Diceros bicornis minor: one gene and its partner. The protein of the gene in region 1 binds, or shares a complex with, the protein of each later gene. Links are inferred from orthologs where the notes say so. Each region holds a gene or a part of one and is shown on either strand. Other genes may lie near its edges. The genes, in order: PTPN3 and MAPK12.

The links.
Region 2: the proteins of PTPN3 (region 1) and MAPK12 are in contact, whole or in part, in a crystal structure (PDB 4QUM), measured with the Homo sapiens proteins. The link is inferred for Diceros bicornis minor from reciprocal best matches to the Homo sapiens genes PTPN3 and MAPK12. Residues at the interface, in NP_002820.3 of Homo sapiens: Arg655, Leu671, Asn674, Arg675, Tyr676, Lys677, Asp678, Val679, Arg751, His812, Ser843, Ala844, Gly845, Ile846, Gly847, Arg848, Met883, Gln886, Thr887; in NP_002960.2 of Homo sapiens: Met182, Thr183, Gly184, Tyr185, Val186, Val187, Arg189.

What each region holds. Positions count from the first base shown.
Region 1 is NC_080767.1:18,388,085-18,403,302, reverse strand, and holds the start of PTPN3 (tyrosine-protein phosphatase non-receptor type 3), read left to right. Parts: upstream 1-7,492; 5' UTR 7,493-7,562; intron 7,563-7,957; exon of another isoform or gene 7,958-8,111; intron 8,112-8,139; exon of another isoform or gene 8,140-8,402; intron 8,403-15,218.
Region 2 is NC_080764.1:542,815-557,653, forward strand, and holds the start of MAPK12 (mitogen-activated protein kinase 12), read left to right. Parts: upstream 1-7,495; 5' UTR 7,496-7,515; coding exon 7,516-7,640; intron 7,641-7,720; coding exon 7,721-7,850; intron 7,851-10,455; coding exon 10,456-10,514; intron 10,515-11,361; coding exon 11,362-11,473; intron 11,474-11,590; coding exon 11,591-11,620; intron 11,621-11,887; coding exon 11,888-11,935; intron 11,936-12,514; coding exon 12,515-12,629; intron 12,630-12,868; coding exon 12,869-12,940; intron 12,941-13,022; coding exon 13,023-13,102; intron 13,103-13,181; coding exon 13,182-13,260; intron 13,261-13,354; coding exon 13,355-13,628; intron 13,629-14,839. Other genes in the region: MAPK11 (mitogen-activated protein kinase 11), read left to right, coding at 540-715, 1,133-1,262, 1,347-1,405, 1,487-1,598, 1,689-1,718, 1,806-1,853, 1,934-2,048, 2,408-2,479 and 4 more. UniProt on the Homo sapiens protein: Serine/threonine kinase which acts as an essential component of the MAP kinase signal transduction pathway.

The DNA of each region.
Region 1 (15,218 bases):
ATCTTACTTCTCTGGCCATTTTGTTACCAACTGTGTCAGGAAAGCATCATTCTTTTTTTTTTTTGTGAGGAAGATCAGCCCTGAGCTAACATCCATGGAAAGCATCATTCTTGATCTTAAGGTCACTGAAATGATTTTTCTTTCTCTTTTATCCTCATCCAAAGCTCTTTTTTCTGTTCCATCTCTCAGCCACATGCATTTCTGATAGGAGTTCTTGACCTATGGCTGCTTCTTTTCAGAAAGCTATACATTGTTGCACCCTGGTCATAGTTACAGCCTTGACTTGTCAAGTAACCTGGACTTTGAGCTTGGTCAGCAAAATTTAGAGGGAGCCAAAATGTAAAACAAAATAATTTTAAAAACATATTGTGCATACATCATTCTTTTTTTCCAGAGAGAACTTCTTTATTTTTAAATAGGTTATACATCACATGGTAGATAATTCAGAAGGTACAAAAAGGTTTATAGCAAAAAGTAAATGCCCATCCCTCCCCTACCCCCACTTGTCCAATTCCACTCTGGGAGATAATGAACTTCCCAGCCTCAGTTTTGTGTGTGCTCTCTAGCACTCATCCCACCACTATGACTACCACCATTACTGCCTCCTCTCCAGTCACACGGTTAGCCTGCTCCTGGCCGCGTGAGAGCACGGTTGGATGGAGTCAGAAATCCAAGATCAAGAGCAGAGAGCCTGACAGCTCTCAATTAGGGGTCCCTGTGTGCCTGTAGGGGATGCCCTTCTCCATTTTCTCTTCTCCTCCCCTTCAACCCCTTTATATGTGCACATCTTTTAAGAAGTTGATGCTCTGGTCCTTACTCCCATCCATCCAAGCATCAGTGATACCTACAAGACCATAATAATCTCTTGGTAAAATTTCCCATCTTCTTAGTGTATTACTCAGACTATGTTCTTGCTATATATACATCGAAAGCTACAGGATAGAAGTTATAAAACTTCAGCACGCATAAGATTTTTACAGTAAACTATAAAATACAGGTTCCTGGGTCCCACAATGAGAGATTGAGAAGGTCTGTGCTAAGTCAAGAGTCTGCTTTTTCACAAGGACTCCTTCCCCCAAGGTGATCTTGATATGTGGTTCCTGGATCAAACTTTGAGACATGCTGCCTTCTGTATTGGTCCTGACTCTTCTCTCTAGAAACTTCTATTAAAGATTTTCGAGTGTTTTCTTCATCACTGCTGATTTTTCAAAGCCATGACCTCTGAATGACTACTCTGCATTGCCTGGGTGTTTCTCTCTCTCTCCTCCTGTTTTCGGGCATATGAACCTTAAAGGTGTGGTTGGGAGACTTGACAAACCTATTCTCCCTGGGTTTTGTAAGATGATACCACCACTTTCAGGGAAGGCCATTGCTTAAAAACGGTCAGCCACAGGACCGGATGCCAACTTTCATTCTCTGCATTTCTCATTGTTTCTCTTTGCTTCTAAAGTCACAGCCATCTGTTGATAGAAGCATCCTCAATGCTTTGATCTCAAAGAGCAGGCTCTCAAGGCCCCTAGACTTATCTTTCCGTTTTTCACGCAGCAGCAAATCTATGTGGTGGTCCGTGGGTCTATTATGGTCCTGTTGGTCCTCTGGCATATCTACAGCATGTGTGCCAGAAAAGCGTTTTTCAAACTCAGGTCCGTGTATCCCTGCGAGTTCACTCAAGTGTTCTTGAAGGTCTGAGAATGCTCTAAAATAATTGTTTAATGTTATCTTTCCATTCCTATGATAATATTAAAAATATATACACACAATCTGGATTGTCTGGCTGACTCCCTTATAACAGAGGGCTGCCACATGATTTCGGTTTCCTTATTCGAATCTGCGTTCATCGTCAAGTGGGCATCAAGTGACCATCTAAAAGGACAGCGTTTAACTTTTGATTTGTTGACAAGCACATTTGGCAGCCATTACGTGGGCTTGGCGTCCGCCTAGCTCAGACTGAAAGGCTGAGTCCTTCCTGGGGCTGACGAGGGGAGGGCCCTTGGGTTCTGGCTCCTGGAACTCTTGGCTTCCTCTCATCTCCTGCCACTTTCTGCTTTCTCCCTTACCCCACCAGCCTCCTTACTCTACATATGCTCCCTTGAGGGCCTTTGTCCTGGCCATTCCCTCTGCCTAGAAGATTCTTCCCCCAGATATCTGCATGAATAACAATCTCATCTCCTTCAGGTCTTTGCTTAAGTGTTTGCTTAAGTGATTAAATCTCTCAGTCCTATTTAAAATGGCAACTCCCCATGTACCCCATCTCCATCTCTCTCCTGTCACACCTCTCTCTGGTCTCTCAACATACAGTATCATTCACTTTTTTATAATGTTCGTTGTTCATTGTCTGGCTTGCCTGTTAGGATGCATTGTTGTTCGTGTTGTTCACTGAAGTCTCCCAAGCACAGTGCCTGACACACAGTAGGTGCTTAATAAATATTTGATGAGTAAACGAATGGACAACAATCACCTCATCTCTGCTGTTGTACTCATGTTAAATTTGTTCATCAGTTTTACAGACAAAACTCTTTTGGCAGTGATAATTCGCAATGCAAAGATATTTTTTGGATTGGAATGGATAAAACTTGAGGCTTAAAAATTTGTGTTTCTCAGAATGAGATCCGTAAAGTGTAGGAGGCTCCAAAAACACAGGCTGAGTCCGAGGGGGTCCGAGTTGGACCAACACTTCTCTAGCAGGTTTCTGACTTGACCTCTGACCCCTTCTCTCTCTGCTTCCCTCCTGGGCCGGGAACAGACATCGTGTCACCATCAGCCACGGTTGGGCACGCAGGGCGGGCTCCACTCTCCGTGAAAGGAACGGCTCAAATTTTTGTGCAATGCTGGAGTAGCCATTTTTTCTCTCTTTACCTCATTTTCTTTGGCTTGCCAACTTTTAAGTTTGTTTCATTTTTCCTGACAATAAAAGAAACAAACTTATCTTAAACTAAGATTTAGGGAACTACACGTAAAGACATACAAAGACATAGATGCCCAAAGACTTGAAATTGTCCTGAGTTGTAAAAGATACCTTCCGTATCTTGTTTCTCTGCCCATACATGCAATATTCAGACAGAGCCGCCATTAATATTTTGGTGTAGTTCTTTCTAGTCTTTTTCCTATGTGTATGTATTAAGTTGAAATATAGGAAGTCGCCGATGTTCAACCACTGTTGACCTACAAAATGGCAATTTTGTATGGTTTAACCTAGTAATTCACAGGGCTGAAGCCATACTACTCGTATAATTTTACAATGTATTCTTTTCACTTGTCATTATAACAGCACCACTTGCCCACGTATTTACCGATTCTTGGGCCCTTCGTCAGCTTGCATTAACAGCACAAATAATTGATGAGCATTAGCATCTCAGCTGGGAGCCCTGCCCTGTGGATCACTGAAACAGTCCACGTGGTGCCCAGACTTCCTGAGTCTTGATGTGAGTGACAATCCTCAGTGGTTCTTCCAGGAAACTCTTCTCATAAATGCCCCCGGCCTATGGCCTGTGTGCAATGCTTGGCACCAGATTTTCTGCCAAAATGGCAGCTTCTGGGAATGCTGCTAATAACCGTGTTCAGCTGCTCATCTCTCGTTCCTCTTAATTTGTGTGAATCTGGTCCATTACTAGTGATGCATATTGGGTTTGTGGCACATCTTCCTCTCCAATGAAATGACCCTCTTTGGCTTTTTGCGCTTGTTGTTTAGTGATTTCTGGGCCAGGTACTGTTAAAAGAGAGAGCGGACAATTTTTTTAGCTTGTCAGCAGTAGGAGGGCTGCTTTTAGGGTCCTGGCTTTCTCTCTGCAAACATCATCAGGACTATCAGCTCTGTATCTTTTTTTTTTTTTTTTTTGTGAGGAAGATCAGCCCTGAGCTAACATCCGTGCTAATCCTCCTCTTTTTGCTGAGGAAGACCGGCGCTGAGCTAACATCTATTGCCAATCCTCCTCCCTTTTTCCCCTTTTTCTCCCCAAGGCCCCAGTAGATAGTTGTATGCCATAGTTGCACATCCTTCTAGTTGCTGTATGTGGAACACTGCCTCAGCATGGCCGGAGAAGCGGTGCATTGGTGTGCGCCCAGGATCTGAACCCGGGCTGCCGGTAGCAGAGTGCGCGCACTTAATTGCTAAGCCACGGCGCCGGCCCTGTATCTTTTCATCACAGCAAAGTCCTGAGGAGTCCATGGACCATGTGGTTCTATTATGTTGTGATTCTGCCTCCAAAATGATTGCCCAGGGACAGTAATCTAGGTGGGTCCTCTCTGGACTGGCCCCATTATCTGAGACTTGGTACAGTCCTATTCCCAACTGGGCCTCTGTTTGCTCTAGATTTGGCTGGGTTCAACTATATAGACTAAGAAGATTACGTGTCCATCCAAAAGCCCCATTTGCATAAGATTTGTGAGCTTATGATATAAGATCAACTGCCATTGCTGATAATAACATCATGTCACTCCAGGGGCCACAGCTTAAAAGGGTGGACTTTACCATTTTGGCCCCCAAAATAAAACAGTAACAGAGGACCAGAACATTTAAAGGTAATCTGTAGCCTATAAACAAATCAAAGGGTAGAGAAAACAAGGCAAAAAAGACACAAAAGGAAATGATGTGTGTTTTCTCTTATGATCAATATATGGTAAGCTACTACACAGAGAGAGGAGGTATTATAAAACCTAACATCCTGGCTTTGAGGTCAGACCAACTTATATCCAAATAGTGACCCTGCCTCTTAGCAGCTGTGAACAGCTCGTAGAATGTTTCCTCTTCTGTAAAACTGAGCTAGAAACACCCACTCTGTAGACTGACCATAAGGATTAAGGACAGAATATGTGTAAAATATTGATCACACTTGAGCTTCATAATAGCAATTATTTTTGTTATTATTATATTATTTTATTTTAAAATAATAAACATTGCAAACACAATATTGTGACATTAATAGATAAACTTAAAAAGAAAAACCAAGACCACTACCCCCCAAATCAGACTATTTACATTTTCCCATATTTCCTTTTAGTCTTGGTAAATGTGTGGACATAATCTTTACGTAGTATATTTGTGTTTTCAGCTTTTTTTCACTTAACATTGCACTGTAAGTTTTCCCCTGTTGCAATATGGTCTAACTTAGTGTAAAACAGTTACTTCAACAAATATACCATAACCTAATTAATCATTTCTCTATTTGCTGACATGTTTCCAGTTTGGGGAATATTCTTTAATTTTGTTCCTGTTTCTGTTATGCTGATTTGAAATGCACAATTTTTAAAAGATTTAGGTTTTCTTCCCTTAAATGTATGGATATGTTTTAGCTCAATTTGAAAACACTGTTTATAAAAGCTAATGAGTGTTCACCGTGGGGAAAGAAAAGGTGGTTTCAGCCTAGTTTCTGGTGGAAAGCAAATTGAGACAACTGCAAGAATTCACACATCCATTAACCTTCGTTTCCTCATCTCAGCCCTTGGCATACTGGTATGGGGATGACAGATAATGGAGGTAGGCACTCAAGAAATGGATCTTCAAAGTGGACTAAACATGTTCATGTTCTTGATGTCATTCAATCCCCACATGCGCCCCAGATCGAAGCGGTAGGTATTCGTATTATTTGAGGCACAGAGAGGGTAAGGTGCTTGTCCCAGATCACACAGCAGCTGGGAGACAACAGAGAACGCCTCTCCCGGACTCTGAATTTCCAGCTTTCCCACCGAGCTTTGGAAAAAATGCCCCCAAGTCCCGCTAAGAGGCGGCGGGTACAGCGATGGGTCGAGGGCCGAGCCGGCCTCTGCGAGGGGCGTCGCCGGCCTCTCCAGGAGGCTCCTCCTCCCGGGCGCTCGGGCCCCGCCCGGCTCCGAGCATGCCCAGTGCGCTCCCCGCCCGTCCCAGTGGTGCAGGGCGGGCGCCGCGCCTCCAGGTTTTGCCCGGGACCAGAGGTCGGGGCGGGGCGGGACGCGGGGCGGGTCCTGTTCCTGGGACTCCCTGGCTCCGTCGGAATTCACCCGACGCGACGCTAGTGCGACGCCCGCAGCGGTGGCGCTACCCAGCAACATGCGACTCGGGGACAATGACCAAAGTGAAGTGCTAGGTGCTGCCGGTGGCCGCCGGATGGCCCTTGGGCCGACCGGACCCCTGGACCTTGGGCACCTGGGGCCGGACAGGATGGTTCCAGCCATTACTCCACTCCTTCATTCACATATTCATTCCCAAACACTTTTTGAGCACCTAGTGTGTGCCAGGCTGTTGTAGGGGCTGGGACACCGCAGTAAAGACAGGCAGGGCTCCAGCCGCGGAGCTGAAATTCCGGAGGTGAATACACAATAAGGAAGCAAATCAGGAAAAGTCACTTACCCACCTCATCTCCTGCTGCTCTGCCCTCCTTGCTATTGCCTAAGCAGTCCTGCGCCTTAGGGTCTTGACACTGGCTGTTCCCTCTGCCAGGAATGCTCTTCCCAGTTTTTCTGCGTGGCTAAAATGTCACTTTCTCAATGTCACCTCTCAAGGGCCCAATGTGACCACCTTATTGAAAATGGCACTCCCTCTACCCTCAAGTCTCCTTACCCTGCTCTTTTTCCTTCGTAGAATTTACCACCTTCTGATATACTATATAGTAGTTTGCTTATTTGCATGTTTATTGTCTGTTGCCTGCCTCTCTTCCCGCAAACTCCACCAGGGGACGAGATTTTTGTCTATTTGTTCACCACGCGCGAATAACCAGAGTAGGTGATCAATAATTATTTGTTGAATAAATTAATGGATGGTGATAAATGTGAGGAAAATAAAGTGAGGACATGGAGAGTGTCCCGGAGCAGGGGGCTAACTTAGTAAGGGGGTCAGGGAAAGCCTCTCCTAGAAGGGGGACATATGTACAATGAGAAGGTGCCAGCCACGTGAAAAGCTGCACAAAGACGTCCCACACAGAGGAGGGGAGAGGCATGTGCAAGTGCCCTGAGGCTATCCAAGTTCTGAGTGTTTGATGGACAGAAAGGTGCTCCTGGGGCTGCAGGAAGAGAGGTGTGAGATGAGGTGGAAGAGGAAAGCAGCAGCACAGATCAGGTAGGGGGCCTATAAATCTTGGGAAGAGGGTTTAAGCCAGGAAGGTTACTAGTGGAATGGGATGAGCACTGGACTGGGAGTCAGCAGGACCCCTGCTAAACCACAAAGCCGCTGGGCGAGACGACTCCTCATTTCAAAGATTTGCTGAACGCCGACTGCTTGACATTCCTAGGTATGGAATCACCGTGGGCCGGGCACACAGTAGGTGCCCAATAAGTGGTTATGGAGCCAATGCCTGCGTGCATGCGCAAGGGGAGCCGGCGCTGCACGGAGCTCGGCATGGGAGCCCGGGTGGCCCGGGGAGGCGCGTCCGGGCGCGCCAGCTCGGGGCGGGGGCGGGAGCGCCCCGCAGGGCGGCCCGGGCGCCCGCCCCCCGCCCGGCGCGCGGGCCCGTCGCGGCCAGCCCGGCCGGCGGGAGCCGCCCGCGGGCGGCACTGGGCATGCTCAGACGGCGGCCAGGTCGGGCCGCGAGCGAGCTTCCGCGCCGCCCGCACGCGCGACCTACCTGGGCGCCCCGCGCCCCCGGATGCTGCAGGTACGGGCCGCCGCGACCCCCCGGGCCGGGGGCAGGGCGCGGGGCGGCGGGGCCGGGGGCGCGCTCGGCGCCGCCCCGCCCCCACCGGCCCCGGGCGCGCGGCGAAGGCGCGGGCGGGCTGGCGGCCGCGGCCGCCCCGGGGCGGGCGCCACGTCGGGGCGGGGAGGGGGCGCCCCCGCCGCGCTCACCTGGCGGGGCCGGGGCGGGAGGGAGCAGGCCGGGCCGGGTGGGGCTCTGTCCCGGGCGGGCGGCCGGGACGCGGTGGCGGCGGCGGGGCGTGGGCGTGCGCTCCAACCGGGGCAGGGGCGGGCGCGACCGAGCCCGGGCGGCCGGCGACCCCGGGGGGCCCAGCGTCGCCGCGATTGCGGCCCCGGGCGCCGAGGGGGCGCACAGCCCGCGGGGAGCCAGCCAAGCGCGGCGGCCAGCCCTTCTCGGCTCCCCGGGCGAATCCGCCTCTCGGCTTTCAAAGATGGCATTTCCTGGGCCTGGCACGAACTCCAGCGCCAATAAATCCTCCCCGTTCCGCGGGCGATCCGAATGATTTATCAGGTACCTGTGCTGAGACAGCTGCAGTGGGGGGCGGGGTGTATGTGAGAGCGCCCAGCCCCCCGGAAATTCGCATTTCCAGCAACCTAAACTTACTGAGAAGTTGCGGTTGCCTTAAAAATTCATGGGAAGTTGAGACAACTTGACACCTGGGTTTTCCGAGGTGGTGGAAAGAGCTTGTGACTTGGAAACTGGAGACCTCTGTTCGAGTTGGACTCCCCCGTGGCCAGCTGGTGACCTTGGGCGAGTTGTTTAACCTCTCTGATCCTCAATTTCCTCCCCTGCAAACAGCCGGTAATGATGCCCACCTCACTGGGTTGTCGGGTGGATTAAGTGGGATAAATTATGTGGAGGTGTTTGGCACCTTGCCCGGCACAAAGCGAGCGAGCAGTTGGCGGCGTGATGTGAATTTAATTCGTTTAGAGACCCTCGTGGCTCCCATTTCACCAGGAAATTAGAATTATGAAAGCATCTTCAGGGCCTAGTGGCAGAGTGACAGACCCTGTCTTTGTGCCCAGGAGAACTTCTGCTGAAGTCAAGGCTTTGGAAAAACAATTTAGCCGAATTGTAACCTGAGAGCATCTTCTTTAAAAGCAGTTTTATACATTCAGAAACTCCAGAAGTTGGCACTTCAGCTTTACTTGCAAAAGAGCTGTTTTGCAAAATGATCCATCTTGCAAATGTTTAAGCAGATGATGCTTGAAAGTAAAGCCTGGTGAGGAAGATTTCTGTTCTAAAAACCTCCCAAACCCAACTTGCAGTGATTGTTTAGATCAAGGTTTCTTAGCCTCTGGATTGTTACCGTTTGGAGTTTGGTAATTCTTTGTTGTGGGGCCTGTCCTATGCATTGTGGGATGTTTAGCAGCATCCCTGGTCTCTTCCCAGTAAATTCCAGTAGCAAACCCTCTCCCTAGTTGTGCCAACCAGCAATGCCTCCAGACACAGCCAAATGGCCCCGGGAAGGAGGGGCAAAATAGCCTGTCTTCCTCTTGAGAACCACCGATTTAGAACCACTGTGCTTTCTATCATTAGCCTGAGTTGTTTGGGAATTTCATCTTATGTTTTTTACTATAATAACTAACCTTTGTATAGCCTTATAGAACTGCACAGAGAGCATCCACATGGGTCAGCTCATTTAGTTTTTACAACTCCCTCGTGGGGCTGGTGTTATTCACATTTTACAAATGAGGAAATTGAGGCTTTGAGCTGTCGATTACACAGTGTGTGGTGTAGCTGGGATGTAACTCACGTCTTCTGGTTCCACGGGTGGGTCTTTTTCTTCTACATCAAGCTGCTCTTTATTGTATGGAGACTCGCAAATAGATGACTTTCCTGATGATTAAATTATGATGTAAAGTAGACTGAAAGCTAGAACCTTTCTGAGATTGACTAGTTGAAAATTAACCGTAAGCTATGATCTGACAGAGAGTAGGTCGTTGTAGTTAAATATTCTAGTTGATAATGAGCTCCCATAAATCCCACCTACAGTTAATGGAATACCAATTTGCAGAGAATTAGAGTAGAATAAAATGTGCCTAATACTCTGTATTGATCCTGAGTTGTCTCTCCTGATTTGCAGTCTCCTAAAACGGACTCCTGTATGCAAATTAGACATTAGCTGGGGAATGTCAAAGGTCACGTTACTGAAGGCATTTTGGAGTGGCTGAGGAATTCTTGTCAGCAAGCATTTATTGGGCTGCTTCTATATGGTAGATGCAGTGCTGGGTGGGGATGCAGAGTAGGCCAGGGGACCCCAGTGAACCTAGGTGCCTGGGGGGACTTCTCTGCAGGGAGAAGGCAGGTTCTGGCCAGGACAGACACATGGCTGGCCCTTGGGGACAGCTTGGGGCAGGAGAGAGAACCCAAGGTAACACTGAGGCAAATTCAGGATCCCGCACTGCTTCCTCGCTCCTGTCTCTGAGCCCTCCTTTCTGCATTTTATCATAGAAAAGGTATTCTGAGAGCTTTTTAACATTCTCATTCAAGTGTCAGGATCCTTGTCAGAGACAAATCATATCCCCGAAAGAAGTTGGGGTCCCAGGCTGGTAATTGGTCTCTGGGGATTGAGACCAGCTCCTTGATGGTTGACTGTGAACTGGGAGGTTTCACGTACATTATTTCATTTCAGTGTCGCGTTCCCTGCCCCTGCAGACAAGCACACTGAGCTAGCAAAGGGAGTGTGGGGCCAGGAGCAAGAGGGACGAATTGTGACCTTTTGCACCTCGGGTCCAGGCACCCGAGGGATTCCGTTTTCTAGGAGGGACATAAGTCACCAGAGGGACTTGGCTTTGGGGACTGGAGGGAGCAGGAGGACATGAAACCCTCTCTACCCCCTCCCCCAGGGTTTGTGGCAGGTTGGGAGGGGACCAGCAATTTGTGGTCCCTCCTTCTCTACCTAGGAGAGTGCCTGTTGACCTTATTCCCAGAGCTTGCCTTCCTTCCAGCAGACAGTGGTTTCTGGAAAGCAGGGTTGATCCCTCTTCATCCCTCCCCAGCATCTGTTGCAGGGGCTGGAATGCCTATGGCACTCAGTACCCACAGTGGCCCTGGTGTTGACGGCCGGTGGGGGCAGGCAGCCTGCTGCTGTTGCTTCCCTAGCTTGGGCTCTTCTCACTACTCTCCTGGAGACTGGACAGGACCTGCTCGGTGTCCACACTGCTCTAGTCTGGGTCCTCGCAACCGCAGGCTCTGATCTCACAGGTGTCTCCTTTCATCTGCCCGCGGGGGCACTAAAGGGAGTGCTTGGTAGGCCCCTGACTGAAATCTGGTTGGTCATGGCTTCCAAGACCCAGAGGTCTTGCATCTGCAGAGCTTCTGCTTGGGCATGCACCTGAACCCTCGGCCTCCAGGTTAAGACCAGCCGTGAGCACAGATTTAACAGCAAAAGAGGACATTTATGGAGCCTATACTGTATGCCAGTCTCTGGGGCTTCAGGGATGAAAGCTGAACCCCTATCTTGGAAGGATGCATGGCGGAGTTAGGAAGGCAGCGACACTGTGTGTGTGTGTGTGTGTGTGTGTGTACACGCATGCATCTGCATCTCCGTCCGTCTGTCTATCTGATAACTGCTTTAAAAGAGGATAAAGCCAAACACAGGAGAGACCAGTGGAGGGAGCCATTTGTTCTGACGGGCATCAGGAACACCGTTGGGAGCAGTTGGCATTACATTCAGCCTTGAGGGTAGAAAAAGATGGCCTTTGGGGGGCAGGCAGAGGGCAGGAGCACAGTCTCAGAGGCGTGAAGAGACTGTGTGTACTTCGGGAGGGGGACTCTTCCCCAGGTGCAGCCTCCTGATGTTGGCTCCTGTAGTTAGGGTGCTGCGCCATCTCTGCACAGGGGCCCCGCCTCCCAGCCCAGGAGAAAGTGCCCATGCTCCTCATTTTGGCTGGGTGGGAGTGATGCTCCTGGGTTGTCTTTGAGGCATGAGCACCTTCTGGCAGCGATGCCTCTGGTTTTAGTTATTAAACACTGGTACGGCACCTACTGGCTGCCAGGCACTGTGCTGAGTGCTGTCCAAATACTGACTCCTTCATTTCATCCTCGTGGCAGCCCTCTGGCCATGCTGCCTCGCTGGCACCCGGACGCTTGGTAGGTAGGGGCAGAGCTCACCTCCCCAGGCCGTGTCCCTCTGTGGGTGATGCTCTGATCCTGGTACGGCTTCTCCCGGCTGCAGTTGACATCGATGCGCCGGGAAACAGCCGCGTCTGCGAGTTGTGATGGACTGCTGACTGCCACGGATTTTTCTCCCTGACCCCGTTTCCTTCGGGGGGCCAGCCGGGCTCCGCTGACTACAATTTCTGAACCAAAGATTGGGATCTGTAGTCTGAAAAAGAATGTTTGAACTGCTTCTTTAGGCAAGAGGAGGCCTGGGAGGTGTTGTTTGGATACTGAGAGAGTGGAATTTTTGAGGCATTTCAATGGTTTATGTGGAAAGTTAGGACAGAGGATTTGAAATTGGGATAGTCCTGGAAAATTCAGGTCCCATGATTTACTGTCAGGATACACAAGGTTTTAGTAAATATTTAAGCAATGTGTAGTTTGGGGTGAATTTTCTGTACTGAGCCTGTTGGAGCCCCAAAAGGGAATAAATGGTGCCTTCCAGCCCCAGAATCTTGCTAATCCTACCAGTCCCATTTTACAGATGGGGTGAGAAAATCGAGACTCAGAGAGATGAAGTGACGGCCCGAGGGGCACAGTGCTTATATGTAGACAGCCAAGATTTGAAACCAAGTCTGTCCCTAGACAAATCGTTCAACTGTAAAATGAGGATAATAATAGAACCTGTTTCCTTTAAATTGACCATTGTAAAGGAGCTAAGGACTGAAAACCCACTAAGGTAGAACTTGGTACAAGAAGGGCCCCTCCCTTTGTGGTTGGGCCCCTGATCCTCCAGACAGGCCCTTTGTTTAGCTTCAGTGCTGAGAGTTGCTGTGCGTGAGTGACAGCCCCCTCCCCCAGGGACCAGAAAGGGGCCTTGGCCAGCTGGATGCTGTGTTGATGAGAGGACTTTAGGAGTGGGGTGTGAAGACCTGGCTCCTGCACCCCACTTCCTTTGGGTGAGTCATCCTCATGGTCTAGACCCCAGGTTCTGGGTGAAAGAGGTGGTAACCAGCTCTGTCAGCCAGCCCTTGACCCTACCCATGGTGGGCCTGGAGTGGGGATGATCACAGCCTGAGCCCAGATCTTGCCCGCTTTGCTTCCCCAGTTCCCTCCCCTGGTCTGGCTATCAAATTCATACATGGTTGTGGTCGAAAATTAAAGTGTCATGGAGCAGAAGAAAAATCATTCATGATGCTCCTCAAGGGACAGCCGTCACCACCACCACCACTGCCGAGGACTCCACACACCCCTTCACCTGCCAGCCTGTCGTCTAGTCCGCAGCCCAGGGGGTCTTGCAAAAATACTTCCTATTGCTCTTAGAATAAAAGAGAAAATGAATGTTGGCGTCTCCTGCAGGCCCCGGTGTGCGGGCTTTGATCCTCCTGCTTTTTCCAGCTCTCGCCTCACCTGCCACAGGGGCTGTGGAGGCCTGGAACCTTCTTCCGCTCGCCCGCAGTTAACTGCTCCTCTGGGTCTTAGTTCCATGGCTGCAGATGCCTTCCCTCGCCTTCCTGATTTGGGGTAAACTGCCTGCTATAAACGCTCGTGCCACCAGATCTCTCTCCTTTTACAGCACTTTTCACAGTTGCAATTTTGTGGTTAATTAGTGTAATTATTTGTATTAGTACCTGCCTCCCCAGCTACACTGTGAGCTCTGTGAAGTCAGGGTCTGTCTTTCTTTTTTTAAAGAAAACTTTCTCTGAGACTTATTTTTTTCTTTTAACTTTTTATTTTGACCTAATTCAGACTTATAGAAAAGTTCCAAGAATAGAACAAACAACTACCATATACCCTTCACCCAGATTCCCCAGATGTTCCCATTTTATCACATTTATTTTATCCTTCTCTGTATGTATATATTTTCCCTGAACCATTTGAAGATCATTTATAGACTCTTCCTTTCCCCCAAAATACTTCAGTGTATTTCCTAAAAACAATGACATTCTCCTATGTAACTACAGTCTAATTTTTAGAATCAATAAATTATATTGATTAAAATATAAAATATTTTGTATAATATTTACTATTGATACAATATAAAAATACTGTTATCTAATCTCTCGGCCATATTCAGGTTTTGCCATTTGTCTCAATAGTGTCCCTTGTAGCAAAGAAAACCCCAGATCCTGTGTTGCATGTGGTTGTAACGTCTCTTTAGTCTCCTTTAAACTGGAACGGTTCCTCGGCCTATCTTTGTCCTCTACGACCTTGACGTTTTTGGAGAGTACAGGCCAGTTATTTCCTAGAGTGCCCTTCAATTTGAGTGTGTCTGTGTTAACTCACACAGTGTCCCCAGTGCCACTGGAACATCAAATGCACTCGGTAAACATTTGTTGAATGAAGACGTGGTAAGATGGAAGGAGATGGAAGGAAAAAAGTCAGCAGGTTTTCTAGTTTCCCCCACTCCTACTCCTTTCCTTGCTGAAGGCTATTATTCAGTTGCAGTCACACTGTTTATAGGTTTAAATCTTGCTATTTTTATAGCACAGCTTTCCCCCCAAAAGAGAGGCTTTCTCAGGTGTAGTAGTGAGCCTGTTGTCTCTGCAGGTATACAAGCAGATGCTGGGTGATGGCTTGGGAGGGATGCTGGAGAGGAGAATGGAACATCTGATGAGGGGTGAGACTCAGCCTGGTCCCTCCCAACGCCGAACAGCCTTCTCTAACTGCGACTTGAACTTCGCAGGCCTAGGGGCCCAAGAATAAGGCAACTAGAATTTATCATCCAAACATTTTGAGAATAAAAGGAGTGCTGTTGAGAATTACATCTAATCGAGTAGCCTCCTCTGGGACTCCCTGGGCAAACGTGACTTTGAGGTTGGAGATCAGTGCCAGAGGATCAGCCCAGAAACCCTTCTAGCACCAGGAATCCTTTGCCTGGATAAAGACAAAACTGATCTCCTTGGCATTGCATGCTGGGCCCATGTTCGTGGCTTTGGTCCACACGCACCTCTGTAGTCGCATCTCCCTTGGCATGCCCCTCCTCAGCTTTGCACCTGCTCCACCAGCTTTCTCTCAGCTTTGCCTTGCTTGCTCCTTCCTGCCACAGGGACTGGCAGAGCCTGGAACATCACTTACATACCCAGGCTGGATGGAGGAGGAGGGACGGGGCCTGTGATGGATGCACAAGGGGGACAAACAAGCCAGCTGTGCTTCCCACTAACCGAATTCTATTGGAATTTAAGAGCCAGGGTGTGTGAGTGAGGTGGGGCAGGGGACCAGAGTTTCCCTAGGCCTTATCTTCTCTTTTCCTGCAGTGCTCACACTTCCACCTGTACCTCCTGCGCAAATGCTCACGTGCCTCTCCCGACCCTTGTTCTGAGATCAGAACCTAGTCACCAGCCTTTGGCAGAGGTGGGGAAGCAGGTGGCAGTGGGGACCCAGGCACGAGAGGATGGGCATTGGATGACCAGTAGGTGCAGACAGGGACTTGGATGCAGAGGAATCAGGCAGGAAACCAGCGTCTAGGGATCCCGGTTACAAGGTCAATACGGGGCCGTTTATCAGGAAGTC
Region 2 (14,839 bases), on another chromosome or scaffold:
GCTCAGAGCTGGCTTTCCTCCACCACCCTCTGGGCCCGTGAGCATCCCTTGTCCTGCAGGAGCTGCTCCTGGGGGCGGTGTGGGCATGGGGAGGGGCCTGAGGCTCCACTCACTCTTCGGGGAAGGGATGAGCATCAGTGAGGGGGAACAGCCTGTGCAAAGGCATTGCTTTCAGCAGGGCCCCCATCCTGAGGGCAATGGGAGGGTGGGAGGGTAGGGAGTGGCTGGACCATGTGTGTTTGAAGATAATGCCAGTGACTGTTGGGCTCCTGTGAAGAGTAGATAAGTTGGAGGCTGGTGTAGAGGTGGAGGCTCTGCCCCTGGGGAGTGAGGTTGGGCAAGGGGAGATGTTCTGTGGGTCCAGATACCACTCACTGCTGGACATTCCCTGCTGGCCAGTTTCTCACTGTTAGAAACGATGCAGTAAATCCTGTGGCCAGTTTTTCCTCCGTATTTTGAATATTCAGAGGCTTTGGGGGTTCAGGGGCTTTGGAGGCAGCTCTAGAACCCCTCGGGGAGTCTCCTGCACCCACAGGCCCATGGGGGAGGAGGAGGACCGTTTGCTTGGGGACATGCCAGGGGCTGTTTCCCAGACGTGTTATTTCCAGGCTGGCTGGCAGAGACTCCCCCACCCCCGCCTTGTGCTGAGTTGGGGGCGAGAGTCATTGGGAGGAGCAGACAAGAGAAGATCCAGGTCCTGCCCTGGGGCTCCCAGGTGGGGCAGGCTGGGCCCCTGCAGATATGGGAATGCTGGGGGTGAAGGGGTGGAGTGGAGGGTGAGCTGCCTCTTGAGAAGGAGCAGGACCCGAGGGGGCGGTGAGAAGAGGTTTCGTGGGAGTGTTGTTTGGGAGTGTTGTCGTCAGAGCGCCTCCCACGTGCCAGTCACCTTCTTGCCCCTGGGGCCCCGCAGAGGCGCACCTGCTGGTGGCCGGCGGTCCAGCCCCCTCCAAGGAGTCCCTTAGAGCAAAGGCGCAGAGGGAGGAGAGCAGTGGACGAGCAGGGGTGGAGGAGCAGCTGCCGGGAGCGTCTGTGCGTGGACCCCACCCTTGCCCCTCGGCCCTCAGCCCGGACAGGCCTGGGGCCGCGTACCGGCTGGGCCCCTCCACCGGCGCCTCACTCGCCCGCCTTGCAGCTCGGCCTACGACGCGCGGCTGCGCCAGAAGGTGGCGGTGAAGAAGCTGTCGCGGCCTTTCCAGTCGCTGATCCACGCGCGGAGGACTTACCGCGAGCTGCGGCTGCTCAAACACCTGAAGCACGAGAACGTGAGCTGGGGGCTCCCCGTGGGGGATGCACAGCCTGAGGGCCGCTGTGGGCAAGGCCGAGTCCTGACTTCCCTTCCCGCCCAGGTCATCGGGCTACTGGACGTCTTCACGCCGGCCACCTCCATCGAGGACTTCAGCGAAGTGTGAGAGGCCAGAGGATGGGTGGCCCGGGAGTGTGCTCAGGGAGGGGTCGGCGGGCCAGTCCTGATCCCTGACCCACCCAGGTACCTGGTGACCACCCTGATGGGCGCCGACCTGAACAACATTGTCAAGTGCCAGGCGCTGAGCGACGAGCATGTCCAGTTCCTTGTCTACCAGCTGCTGCGCGGGCTGAAGGTGGGCTTGGGGGGGGGGGGGCGTGGGAGGTGCGGGGGGCACGGGGGCACGGCAGCACGGGAACCTGACGCTGCGCCTTCCCCCTCGCAGTACATCCACTCGGCAGGGATCATCCACCGGGTAGGTGTGGCCGAGGGGTGAGGGGCCGGTTCCCTGCAGGCCTGGCTGCAGGACTCCTCCTGCGCTCACGCCCTGCCTGCCCTGCAGGACCTGAAGCCCAGCAACGTGGCGGTGAATGAGGACTGCGAGCTTAGGGTGAGCAGTGGGGCGCACTGGGCAGTGGGGAGGGGTATGCGGGGAGGGGCATGCGCTGACAACCCTGGTGGCCGCTCTAGATCCTGGACTTTGGACTAGCGCGCCAGGCTGACGAGGAGATGACTGGCTACGTGGCCACACGCTGGTACCGCGCACCTGAGATCATGCTCAACTGGATGCACTACAACCAGACAGGTGATGTCAACCCGCATGGGAGCAGCCACGTGGGACCGGGGTGGGTAGGCAGAGCTCACACCAGGGCCTGTGGAGGGCGAGTGGGGGTGAGGCCAAAAGCCAAGGACTTTGGAGGTGTGTGTCCTGTCTTGGGGGACAGGAAAGGTCTGGGACCAGCATTCAAAAACAGACCTTTGGAGGGGCCGAGCATGTTGGGTCATGGGCTAACCCCTCTGCCTGCCCAGGGCTGTGTGGAGGAGGAAGGGCCTGCTGTCTTTGGGCCTGGGTGTGACTGAGAGGCCACTGGGCTGGCACAGGCCAAGCAGCCCACTAGCTCTCTGAGGAGGAACTGGGGACTGATGGAGACCCTCCCTCAACAGTGGACATCTGGTCTGTGGGCTGCATCATGGCCGAGCTGCTCCAGGGAAAGGCCCTCTTCCCAGGAAACGACTGTATCCTTGGCCCAAGTTGGGAAGGAACGTTGAACCAGGGGCCCCTCTGTGGGGTAGGGTCGAGGGAGGGGGGCTCTGGCCCTTTCTGGCCAGTCTTGCCTCGTCTGCCCCACTGCGTGCCACGTTGGGCTCACTGTCCCCAGCTGTAGGAGAGCAGGATCTGGGCAGTGCCCTAAGATCTGGCTTCTGGGGCCCGGGAAGGGTCCGTGCCTGGCCAGTGGTCATTTCCTGAGCCGGGCAGACATTGACCAGCTGAAGCGCATCATGGAGGTGGTGGGCACACCAAGCCCCGAGGTTCTGGCGAAGATATCCTCGGAACATGTGAGTCACCGGACACCAGCTCCCTCTGCTGACCAAGCCCCTGGCACTCTGGAGGAAGGGGCAGTGTGGGGATAGACTGAGCACCATGTGGGGGCAGAGGTCACAGTGGAACAGAGCCCAAGGAAGATGCCCGACCCCTTCAGGGGGACACAGGTGAACAGGGAAGACATTCCTGGCACGAGGGACGGCGAGGGCAGAATTGCAGCACCGACAAACAGCGCCCTGGCCAAGGACGGTGGGCGGCACCGTGCCAGGTCCTGCAGGCATTGAGGCCCAGGCGAGGAGCTGGAGCCCCCAGGTCCAAAGCAGGGGAGGTCTCTGGTCTGTGCATGCCCCTGCCCAGGCCTGTGGGAGTGAATGAGTCTGGGGCTTCTTTTGGCAAGCCCCCTTCTGGCTTAGGGCTAGGGGAGGTGTGGGGGTGAGCAGCCCCCTCAGGCCCTTCCCATGTGCTCCCAGGCCCGGATGTACATCCAGTCCCTGCCCCCCATGCCCCAGAAGGACCTCAGGAGCATCTTCCGTGGAGCCAACCCCCTGGGTGAGGATGGGCTTGGGGTCTGGGCTGGGCTCCATGTCTGGCCCTGGATGCAGAGTTGACCCCCCCACACTGGCTCCTCTGCAGCCGTGGACCTCCTGGGAAGGATGCTGGTGCTGGACAGTGACCAGAGGATCAGTGCAGCTGAGGCCCTGGCCCATGCCTACTTCAGCCAGTACCACGACCCGGATGATGAGCCCGAGGCCGAGCCCTATGACGAAAGTGTTGAGGCCAAGGAGCGCACGGTGGAGGAGTGGAAGGGTGGGCCTGAGGAGGGCTGAGGAGGGAGGTGGAGCCCAGGATCCCAGGGTTGCATTCCTCCCCAGGGGGTCTGGGAGCAGGGACAACATTCCGCACCCCCCCCACCCCCGCCCGATGCCCTGGTGGGACAGCTAGAGATGAGGTTGGGTGTGTCCAGCGGAGGCTTGGGGGCAGCACAGGGCAGGCTCTGGAAGGAGGCCCAGGAGCTGAGGCTTCTCTCGGAGGACGGTGGTCCTGGGCTGGGTAGCTGGCACCAGATAAGCTGGGCAGGGGTGCTGGGCTGGTGGCAGCATGAGCTCACCCTTTCCCCTCCTTCCCCTCACCCCTCAGAGCTCACCTACCAGGAAGTCCTGAGCTTCGAGCCCCCAGAGCCACCGCAGCCGCTGGGCAGCCAGGAGACTGGGCAGTGAGGGGAATGCTGCCCATCACCACACTCAAACTCAACGAGGGGCCTGAGCCTGCCTGCCCCCCTTCCTCAGCATTTGGGGTCCCACAAGGGGCGCCACCTTGATGGCCCGGCAACCCTGATCCCTGGCCAGGGACGCCCCGTCTGCACACTGCTCCTTGTGGGGAGTCTGCACACACATGTGAATGCATGCAAGTGTGCATGCGTGCGAGCCACGGGTGTAGGAGTCTGGGCAGAGTGTCCTGGACTTCCACCGTCCTTCTACCCCCTCCCAGCACCCTGGGTCTCCTTTGGGACCTCACTGGGGGACTGGATGCCGTATGGGTTTCTCCTGGGGAGTGTGTCTGTCTCCAGATCTCCTTAGTCCTGGAGGGCTGTCTCTGGGGGTGGTGCGTTGGCGTCAGGGCCCCCTGGAGACTCAAAGGGAGGGGTCGCAGCGGTCAGAGCTGCTCAGCCTGGAAGCGGGCACTACCCTGGGAAGTGCTGAGACCTGATGGTCTGAGAGCTGAGCAGGGTCTTTCCTGGGGGGTGGCAGGGCGGGGACAGCTGCCAGGTGTCAAATCAGAAAATCCACCTGAGCTGCATGTTCACCTGCGCTGTGTGTGGCACAGACGCACTTCAAGGCACATGCAGGCGTATGTGCACCTGTGGGTGCCCAAGGCCCAGCGGCCTGACTGGCAGGAGGCCTGAATTGGGGTGGCTGTACTATTGCCTCCCCTCCCCACTGTTCCTGATGCCTGGGGGGTGGGGGTGGGGCTGAGATCCCACTGTGCATCATGAGAGGGGCTCCGGTGGAGAAGGGGCAACCACGGGAGCAAGAGCCGGGGCTCTCTCCTTGGGTGTGGGAGCTGCACCAGGTTTCCAAGGCATGGGGCACAGTGCGAGTTGGGGAGCTGACGGGCACGGGGCTTCCCACCTTGAGGATGCTAAGAAGGAGGGCACACACCGATGTGGACTTGGACTTGACCCTGGACTGTGGCCCTGACTGATGAAGATGCCTCTGCCTGCTCTACCTCTGCCCGCCCTCTGGCCCTGCAGCTGAGAGCTGGGGTGCTCTGGTCTGAGGGTCTGCCCTCATCTTCCCTCCTTCCAGAATGGAGCTGACCTACTAACCTCTGGGCCAGGACCCTGCTCCACACGTGTTGTGGGTGTGAGTCTCTGTCAGGTGGTGACCTATCACCTGGCAAGACCAGGGAGGTCTGAATGTCAAGTGCCTGCACCAGGGTTTCGCAATAAAGGGGGTTCCCTCTGGCTCAGCTTGTGTCCCAGGCTCCAAGCCCTGCTGCCCCTCTTTCCCCACTGCCTGGAGTGGGTGGCTGGCTCTCCGAGCATCACACCTCCAGCTGGCCTGGCCCCACCAGACTCCTGCACTAGCCAGATCCCTTGGGCCCCCAGTGAGACAAGCAGCCATCTTCGGCACGCTCCCTGCTCCCTGAGAACCCAGGCAGACCTGGGGGTGGGGGGTGGGGGTGAGTCCTCCACCCAGGCCAGTGGGCTCTGAGGGGGACAGGGTATGATGGCCACCCTCAACTTGACCCCAGCAGGGTAGCTGGGGATTCACTGGGCAGGCTTGGCGTCTGGTCCAGATGCAGAACTGCCCCTCGACTCAGTGGTCAGGGTGGCCACTGGGTGACAGTTGGGGGTCTCTGGAAGCAAAGGCCTTTCCCAGGGCTGGGCTGGGCTGGGCTGGGTGGGGGAAATACCTTTCCTCTTTTTCCTGGTTAAGGGGAAAGAGGGCCACTTCAGCCTTCGACCTCCTGCTCACTGCAGCTTGGGGGGCGGGGGGGACAACGACCCAGTCCTGACAGAGATCAGGCAGGGTGTCCCCAGGAAAGGGACGTTCTGTGCCCCTGCCCTGGGTCTTGGGTGGTGGAGACTATCTGGGAAGTGGGCCTCCAGGGGCCTGGTCAGTGTGGCTAGTGGGCCTCAAGTCTTGGGGAACCTCCGGAGACTGGGCTGGGCCAAGTCCTGGGGGTGGGGTGGGGGATGGGAGCAGAACCCCGGGAACAAGCCCCATCTGGCGGTGTGTCCTGATAGGCAACCCTGCTGGACCCTGGGCCCCAGCACAGGGAATAAGGGGTCCAGCTGGGGGACTTCCTGGAGGAGGCAGGTAGAGTGCCACAGGCAGTCCAGGGCATGAAGGGCACGGGTACAGGCGGTTGTGGCTCCCATGACCCCAGGCTGCCTCCACTGACCTCCAACTCCTGAGGGCTCTGGATCACCAGCCTCACCAACCAGCAGCCCAGGTGTAAAGCTGCTCTGGCCAGGCTTGAGCTGCTGATTCATGGCAGCCAGCTGGGCAGGGCACAGAGGGCGGGACAGGGGGCCCTGGGAATCCTGTTACCCTACTCCTTCTCAGACCCCCATCGCTGGGCTAGGGGAGGATGTGGCAGGGGGCTGGGAGCTCTGATCTCCAGGAGCATCTGGTCCAGGATGGGTCCCACTGAGGGGTAAGGGGGCGCTGAGAGGCCCAGTAGGGCCCTCCTTCACCCGCAGGGTCAGGCACACCTTCCTGGAGAGAGCGGAGAGGCTCAGGCTGGGCTTTGAAGGACAAACAGGAGGGAATAAGCTGGGCAGGGGCTGGGACGCGCAGAGGGACTTGCGAATGCTCGCAGCAGGCTCCCCACATGCCAAGTAGGGGGAGAGAAGGGAGCTGGGGTGCACAGGGCCCAAGGGGAACCTACAGGACCACCTTCTCTGGCTCCCTGGGGTTGGGAGGCCTGGGGTCTGTGGTCACAGGGAGGGGTGTTGGGGATGCAGCCTAAGTTTGGGAGACAGAACGAGCTCTCCCATACGGACCCCACAGGTGCTGGGGACCTCACACTGGGGAATGGATGGATCAGGCGGGGGTGGGGGGCGCTCAGGTGTGGGGGGGTGGAAGTTGGCGGGCTGCTGGACAGTGGCGTAGGGCTGGGGATAGAAGTCCGACGGCCTCAGGCTGCCCAAGACGGGCCCAGCGCCCTGGGGGCATGGTTAGTGAGGAGGAGACAGGAGCCCCAAGCTAAGACACCCCCGACGCGGGCCCGGGGGTTCAGCCTGAGTGCGGGGGCGAGCCGGGGGTCTCCGACACCCCTTCCGGTCCGGTTCCAGGCTGGGACTGAGCTTCGGGGCGGCGCTCCCTCCCCCTCCGTCCCCTCCCCCCAGTCTCGGGTGCTCCCGGGCCACAGCCGCCTCGGGTTTCCGGAGGGGCCGAGGGCGGGCGGGGGCGTCACGTGCGCGCGGCCCGGGGGCCGGTTGGTCCGCAGGCAGGGGAGGGGCCGCGCGCTACGCGGTCTGGGGCTGGGTCGGGCCGGGGTCGGCGGGACGGGAGAGCCTGGAGGACGGCGACCCGGAGGGAAGAGCCGGGAGCGGCAGTGCCCGGCGGCGGCGGCGGCGGCGGCGGCGGGCGGGCGGCGTGGAACCGGCTCTCCCGCGCGGTGGCCCGCGGCGCGCGCCCAGGGAGCCCGCCGATCCCGGTTCCTGGTCCCGGGGCGCGGCGCCCGTGGGGTCTGCGGCGGGGGCGGTGCCCGGGCCGCCATGAGCTCTCCGCCACCCGCCCGCAGGGGCTTTTACCGCCAAGAGGTGACTAAGACGGCCTGGGAGGTGCGCGCGGTGTACCAGGACCTGCAGCCCGTGGGCTCGGGTGCCTACGGCGCCGTGTGGTGAGCGCAGGCCGCGCGGGTGGCTGGGCGGGGTGACCCGGCCCTCCCTCCCTCCCACCGCTAAGCGGTGCGTCCCGCAGCTCGGCCGTGGACAGCCGCACGGGCGCCAAGGTGGCCATCAAGAAGTTGTACCGGCCCTTCCAGTCCGTGCTGTTCGCCAAGCGCGCCTACCGCGAGCTGCGCCTCCTCAAGCACATGCGCCACGAGAACGTGAGTCGCGCGGGGTCCTGGGCTCAGGACGCCGCGTCCGTCGGCGCCGCTCGTCGCCCTCCTCCCCGGCTCCTAGGCGTCCCCCTGTGCCGTGGGGCGGGTGTCAGGGCACTGTCCCCGAGAAGGGTGGGCGGCTCCAGTTGGTGAGGGCAGAGCCCCTCCTCTCTCTGAGGGAGACTGCTGCCCCAGGGCTTGGTCCTCTCCTCCTAGGCCAGTCCCTGGGCAGGACTTAGCTCCTTGGCTTCCTCCTGGGGCCGCATCTGGCTCCTAAGCCCAGGCTCTGGTCAGGGGCCGGCCACTTGCCCAGGCGGATCATCCATGTCTCACCCAAACGCTGCCTCCAGCCAGGAGCCTGAAGTTAGAGGACGCTCCAGGGAGAGGAGCGATTTTCCTGGAAGGGGCACTTATCCTCTTCCCCGCTGCCCGACCGCAGGCCCCCTTCTCCAGCCGGTCCAGCCCCTCCTGAACCCACTCTGCTCCAGTCTACCTCCTGAGCCTCAGCCCTAGGAGTTGGGGCCCTGGGAACACAGAGCAGGCATAGTGTTGGAGTCAGCATCCTGGCTGTCACCTCGGAGCCTTGGGGTCTGGGGTGGTGAAAGGGTTTAGAGAGTTGATGTGTGGAGGGCACTGGGCGCAGAGACGCTGGCTTCATGTCCATGGGGGCTTCACGGACAGTGGGGAAGGGACAGATCTGGGCGCTTACCAGTTGTTTCCACATCTGCCCGTGGGACACAGCTGCCATGGGCCTCTTTCGTGGCTGTTGCTGGCTGCTAAGAGCCCTTCTCTCCGCCAGGGGAGCTCCTGTTGTTTCTTGATGCAATCCTCCTGCGGCCATGACCTCTGCCCCCTCCCACAGAAGCCACTCCTGTCTCACCCCACTTCTGGGCCCAGTCTGAGGCATGGTGGTTTGGGCACCCACAGGTGGTCTGACTCCTCCCGGGTCATCAGAGCCGCCAGCACTCCCTGGAGGGAATGAGTCCTTGTGTCCAGCCGGAAACTTGTCCCCTTGGTTCCTGGCTGATGCCCATGCCCACCCTATTAGCCCCTGGCTGGCTCTTCATTCTCTCAGCCTGCCCGTCTCCGCCCTTATCTCTTCCCAGGTGAAATCCATTCATGGTGGACCCCAGCCCAGCCTTGGCCTCACTACCTCCTGGTCACACCCAGGCCTGTCCCCGTGAGGGCAGACAGGCTTCATCCGGTTTCTCCCTTACTGCCCCTCACTCCCACCCACCCACCCTTCTCATCCAGCAGGGTCTTTGGGCCTTCTGTTCAGTTGCTTCCCACCCCTGATCTGGCCCAGCCCCCTCCTGGGGCCTGCCCCCCAGCCTGTGCTGGGGCCACCCCACTGTGCGGTGGGTCCTACCATCCCCATCCAGCTCCTCACCCGCCAGCACCCAGCACTGCCTCCAGGCACCCCACACACAAGCTGGGAGGCTGGCCTATTGTGAACCCATTTCCTTGGGAGGAAACAGGCTCTGAGAGGCTGTGGAGCGGCTGCCACGTGCTCTAGTCCTGCCCCTTCCGCCCTCCACTTCAAGCCTCTCCCTCTCCTTCTCCCCTACTTCTGCTGCGATCTGCACCGCAGAGGCACAGAAGTCTCCGTCAACCTGACAATCCCCTTAATCTCGGGGATCCGGTCCTCTGTTCTCCTCCCTCTTGCTACAATACCCTCCCAGTGCCCCAGGCCCCTCTCTGGATGTCCTGCTCTGTTCTCTCCTCCCCTGCTGCCCATGGCTCTGGCCCCAGTGGCTGCAATGGTCATCTAGCTGTTCCTCCACCTCACGTTCACTCTTACCTCACTCCGGTCTGCCCCCACACAGCAGCCAGGGAGACACATTCAGTATCATGCCTGTTTAAACCCTTCCTCGGTGGCTCTTAGGATGGAAGCCAAGCCTCACCTGGCTGTGAGGGCCTCCTCCGGCTCCCTCTGGCCTCTCCTTGGCTACTCCCTGGCCTGGGCCTCGGCCACCTGGCCTCCCTCCCCATGTTCCTCAAACGCTCGAAGTGTTCTCCCTCCTGCCTCGGCCACCATCCACATGACCTCTGCCAGGTGTCCCCCCTGCCAACCGCTCGGATGTGAAGGCCTCCCTGGGTTCCTGGAGGCCCTGTCACTCTGAGCCCTGGGGCCAGTTGTCACATTACCTGTCTGCTGTCCATCACCTTTGACCAGGGGTCTCTGGGGTCAGGGGTTTGGTCATAGTGCTGCCCGCCTGGGCCTCTCCAGCAAAGGAAGAACCTGCCAGATTCTAGCTCTCCCCCAAGGGGCTGTCCCCACCCTGATCCTGGGTCTTCAAGGAGGACAGGAAAAGGGGGAGGAAGGGTCAAGGGGCTGGAGCTCCTTGGACGGCTGGAAGCTGACCCAGACTTGGGGCTGCCCCTCCCCCAGAGGATCCCAGCTGTCACCATCCAAAAATAGCCTGTGTCTGTGGGCATGTGTGCCAGGCCGGGTCGTGCTGCCAGTGGGCAGAGCCAGGCAGTAGGGGGAGACGGGTACAGCTGCAGGGGGCTTTCCTGCCTGAGCACCGTATCAGCCTCAGAGGTGTATTCGAGCTCCCGCGCCCTCCGCTGTGTCCCTATCCCACTTGGTGCTCCGGCCCCTCCCCAGGTGATCGGGCTGCTGGACGTGTTCACTCCTGACGAGACCCTGGATGACTTCACAGACTTGTGAGTGCTGGCCGGGGCTGGTGGGCAGGGCAGAGCAGTGTTGGGTGGCTCCTGGGTGTTCTGGGTTGGTGTGGGGACCCACTTGAGACAGGTCTCTCCCTGCAGCCTGGATGGGGGTCGGGATGCACCCTGCCCACCCCCTCCCTACAGCACAGTCCACCCACCTGCCACGTGCCCCTGGACCCACGGCGCTGGCACATCCGGGTGGAGCCTGGGCCTCCTGCCACGCTTGGCCCTGGGCCCTCCCCAGTGCTGGAGGTGCGAACCTTGGGCCTGAGTGTTTGCTGGCCGGCAGGTCCTGTGCTCTGGGACCCTGGCACCGAGTATGTGACGTGTAACTGGAGCTGCTGGCCTTCGCTGGCAGGCAGGGAGGGGTGGCAGGGAGGACCCTCTGCCCCTGCTGAGCCTGCCCTGTGGCTGCCCAGGCGGCCCCCTCTGGACTCACACTGTTGTCAGCCAAGAGCCAGGGGCTGGGCTGGGAAGGCCAGGCTCCTGCCGTCCGACCTTGCAGAGGTCGAGGACCATACTGGCTTCAGTGTCCTGGCGGGGTGCTAAGTATCTCTCCCCTCTGTCTCTCTCCCTCCGCCTGCCCAGCCTGCCCCTCTGACCCAAATGTCCCACTGGCCCCACCGCTGCTCTGACTTCCCTCTACCCGCCTGACATTCTGGGGAGGGCGGGTGGGTAGAAGGAGCCGCGGGTACTCCTTGGAGGTGGGTGGAGCCTGGGGTGGCAACGTGGGAGGTGGAGGCCTGATGCTGTGGGTGACGGGGCCTCCCGGGGTCTGGGCCTGGGCCCAGGCCCAGTAGGTGTGATCCCCACTGTCTGCACCCCGCCCTGACCCCTGCAGCTACCTGGTGATGCCGTTCATGGGCACGGACCTGGGCAAGCTGATGAAGCATGAGAAGCTGAGTGAGGACCGGATCCAGTTCCTCGTTTACCAGATGTTGAAGGGGCTGAAGGTGGGGACATGTGTGCGGGGGGCAAGCCGCAGGAGCAGGCAGAGCCCCTCCAGGCTGGGCTGGGGCTCTGAGGTCCCAGTAAGTTGACCTCTGCTGACCCTCTCTCTCTCCCCACAGTATATCCATGCTGCTGGTGTCATCCATAGGGTGAGTCCTGGCTGTGTGGGTGTGCGAGGGGCTCGACCCCTAGGAGCCTCCATTTCTCCCCTGTAAGGGAGCATGATGGGGTCCAGTGGGGAGTGTGCACCACACCTGCACACAGCCTTGGGGGTCCCAGGCACCTCCACCCTTATGAGAAGGGCTGCAGGCATAGGCCGGCCGAGTGTGGCTGCTCCCACATCCAGCTGCTGTGCGGGCTCTGGCTCTTGTACACCCTGGTGGGCAGGACCACATGGCCACCTTCCCTCTGCCCAGGACCTGAAGCCTGGCAACCTGGCAGTGAACGAGGACTGTGAGCTGAAGGTGCGTGTCAGGTGCGGGGACTCAGGGGTTCCTTTCCCACCTGCCCGTTTGCCTGCTGCATCCTTAGCCCTCAGGCCTGCAGGAGGGCTGGCCCAGGCCCAGGCCCAGGCAGAGAGACCAGACCCCAGCCATCCAGGCAGTGGTCGAGCAGCGGATAGGCAGATGGGCCCTGGGGAGGCACTCGATGGGGCGCATTGAGCACACTCCCATCCCTGCTTGAAGGGAAGGGTGGGATGTGTCCCCAGTCCCCCATGCCTGATCAGGGCAGGATCGAGATGGCCTCCCCAAAGGTGCTGGCCAGGTCCTGGGGGTCAGTGGAGAGTGGAGGAGCAGGAAGAGGAGACCCCCTGGGGTACCTGCTCCTAAGAGTGGGGGGAAGGCAAGGTTGGCAGGCTGGGTGCACTGGCTGTGGGGAGGAATCCTGGCAGAGGCTTGGGCATCCCTGGCCATGACCTCAGGCCCTGGAGGGCTGGCAGGAGGCCCTGGCCTGCCCAGTCCCCTTGGGGTCCCCTGGACCACAGCCTGGCCCACCCACTCCCTGGGGGCCCCTTTGCCCCACCTTCCTGATTCTGGCTGCAGATCTTGGACTTTGGCCTGGCCAGGCAGGCAGACAGCGAGATGACCGGATACGTGGTAACCCGGTGGTACCGGGCGCCTGAGGTCATCTTGAATTGGATGCACTACACACAGACAGGTGAGAAACTGCCTAGAGTCTCAGGGCCACCACTGTGCCAGCCTCCCTATTTCTTCAAAGGAAGGCCCATGGTGGCTGCTCCGCAGGGAGGCTCCTGAGTTGGGATGGGAGCCAGGCGAGGACGGGGCAGGCTAGATGTCCTGTGTCCATTTCCATCCCCCCGAACCCCCGTGTGTGTGTTCCCCCACCCCCCACCCTCCCCTGCCCACAGAGCCCTGATGTGGGGGCTTCTGTCTCAGTGGACATCTGGTCGGTGGGCTGCATCATGGCAGAGATGATCACGGGGAAGACGCTGTTCAAGGGCAACGATCGTATCCTACACCTTGGGGAGCAGGCTGGGGGGTGGGTGAACTCTGCTCTCTGGCCCCTGCTGTGCTCCTGACCTTGCCGCAGACCTGGACCAGCTGAAGGAGATCATGAAGGTGACGGGGACGCCTCCTGCTGAGTTTGTGCAGAGGCTGCAGAGTGATGAAGTCAGTCAGGAGCCGAGGGTGGGCTGGAGGGGCCGGTCCGGGTTTGGGGGCAGGTCCCTCACCCTTTCTTCCCGCACAGGCGAAGAACTACATGAAGGGCCTCCCTGAGTTGGAGAAGAAGGATTTTGCCTCCATCCTGACCAATGCAAGCCCTCTGGGTAGGGCTGGACTGGGGGGAGTGCGGGGTCCATGACCAGGGCTCTGGGGCGTGGGGCCCTCTCCTTGGTCTCACCTGACCTGCTGTCCCCCCAGCCGTGAGCCTCCTGGAGAGAATGCTGGTGCTGGATGCGGAGCGGCGGGTGACGGCGGCCGAGGCGCTGACCCACCCCTACTTCGAGTCGCTGCAGGACACGGAGGACGAACCCAAGGCCCAGAAGTACGACGAGTCCTTTGATGACATGGACCGCACGCTGGACGAGTGGAAGCGTGAGTGGGTGCTCTGGGCAGGGCCTGTGCTGGGCCCCCGACCCCGTGCAGGTGGCCAGGCTCAGAGCCCTGGGTACCCCCACCCCGGGATGCAGGTCAGGTGAGAAACACGACAGGAGGTCAGAGAGAGGGCAGTGGGGCTTCCTGGCTGAGGTGGCCTCTGGCTGGGGCTGAAGGATGAAAGGGAGGGTGTTCCTGAAAGGCTCGGCACACACAGGAGCAGGAGATAAGTTCTGGAAATCGTGGGGAGGCAGCTCCCGGCCCCAGACCTGCTGGCCCCGCCCCAGTGCTGCCCAGCCTCCCCACGTCCAGGCCAGAGCCCCTGGCCAGCTTGGAGCCCCTCCACACCTCTCGCCCCCCAGGCCTCTACTCACACCTCAGACTTGTCCTCACCTCCCCTTGCCCCTTTCAGGACCCAGCCACCTGAACAACTGCATACCCCTTATGTCCTGCTGGCAGGATAAGGTCCACCCCAGGCAGCCCACAGTGCCTCCCACCCCCCACCCCTTGCCTGTCCCCTTCAGCCCCACTGAGCAGTTCAGATGGCTGTCCCCTTACACCAAGGGCCCCTGCCCTCATCTTTGAGGGCCAATCAACACCTGCTTGACCTTAGGCTGGGCTCAGGGCCTGCCCGGTCCTGAGGCCTCCCTCTGGAACTAGCCTCATCTGTGTCCACTCCAGAATGGCAGGCCACGGGGGCTGGGCTTGGTGTCTTTCTCTCGGTGGCTGCAGGACCAGCCTGGAGGAACAGGGATGTGTGAAGGCAGCAGTTAGCACTGTTGGGGCCGTGGCATATGGCTGCCGCTGTGTCCTGGGCCCCGTCCTGGCTCTGCCTCAGACCCAGGGCTTTGGTCCTGTGGGGGGGTGGGGGGGGCTGGGTTGTGGTTCTCCAACCATGTTCCTTAGGGCCCCCGGGTGCCTTGGTGCCTCCAGCAGGGGCTCCACCCTTGTCTGTGCTGTGTTTTGTGCTTATAAGTTTGGTTTGGTTTGATGAAAGTTTTCTGCTGCTAAAAAAGATAACTCGAAAACCACAAGCCACAGGATCTTCTCTGTGGTCCCCGCCCACACAACTGTGGTGAGAGCTTTTGCTTTTACTGCAGACCATGGTGGACAGGTGGTCTGCTGATGGCTGAGCCCGGTGAGGAATGTGAACTCATCACTTCCTGTTTCCCCAGGAAAAGCCAGCCTTGCAGCAGTGGCCTCTTCACACATACCTTCCCTGTGTGGACTGACCCCTGTGTTGGGATTAGATGAAGGGCCTAGAAGGCACCCCATGGGGTGGGAATACACTACACCCCATGCAGGGCACAC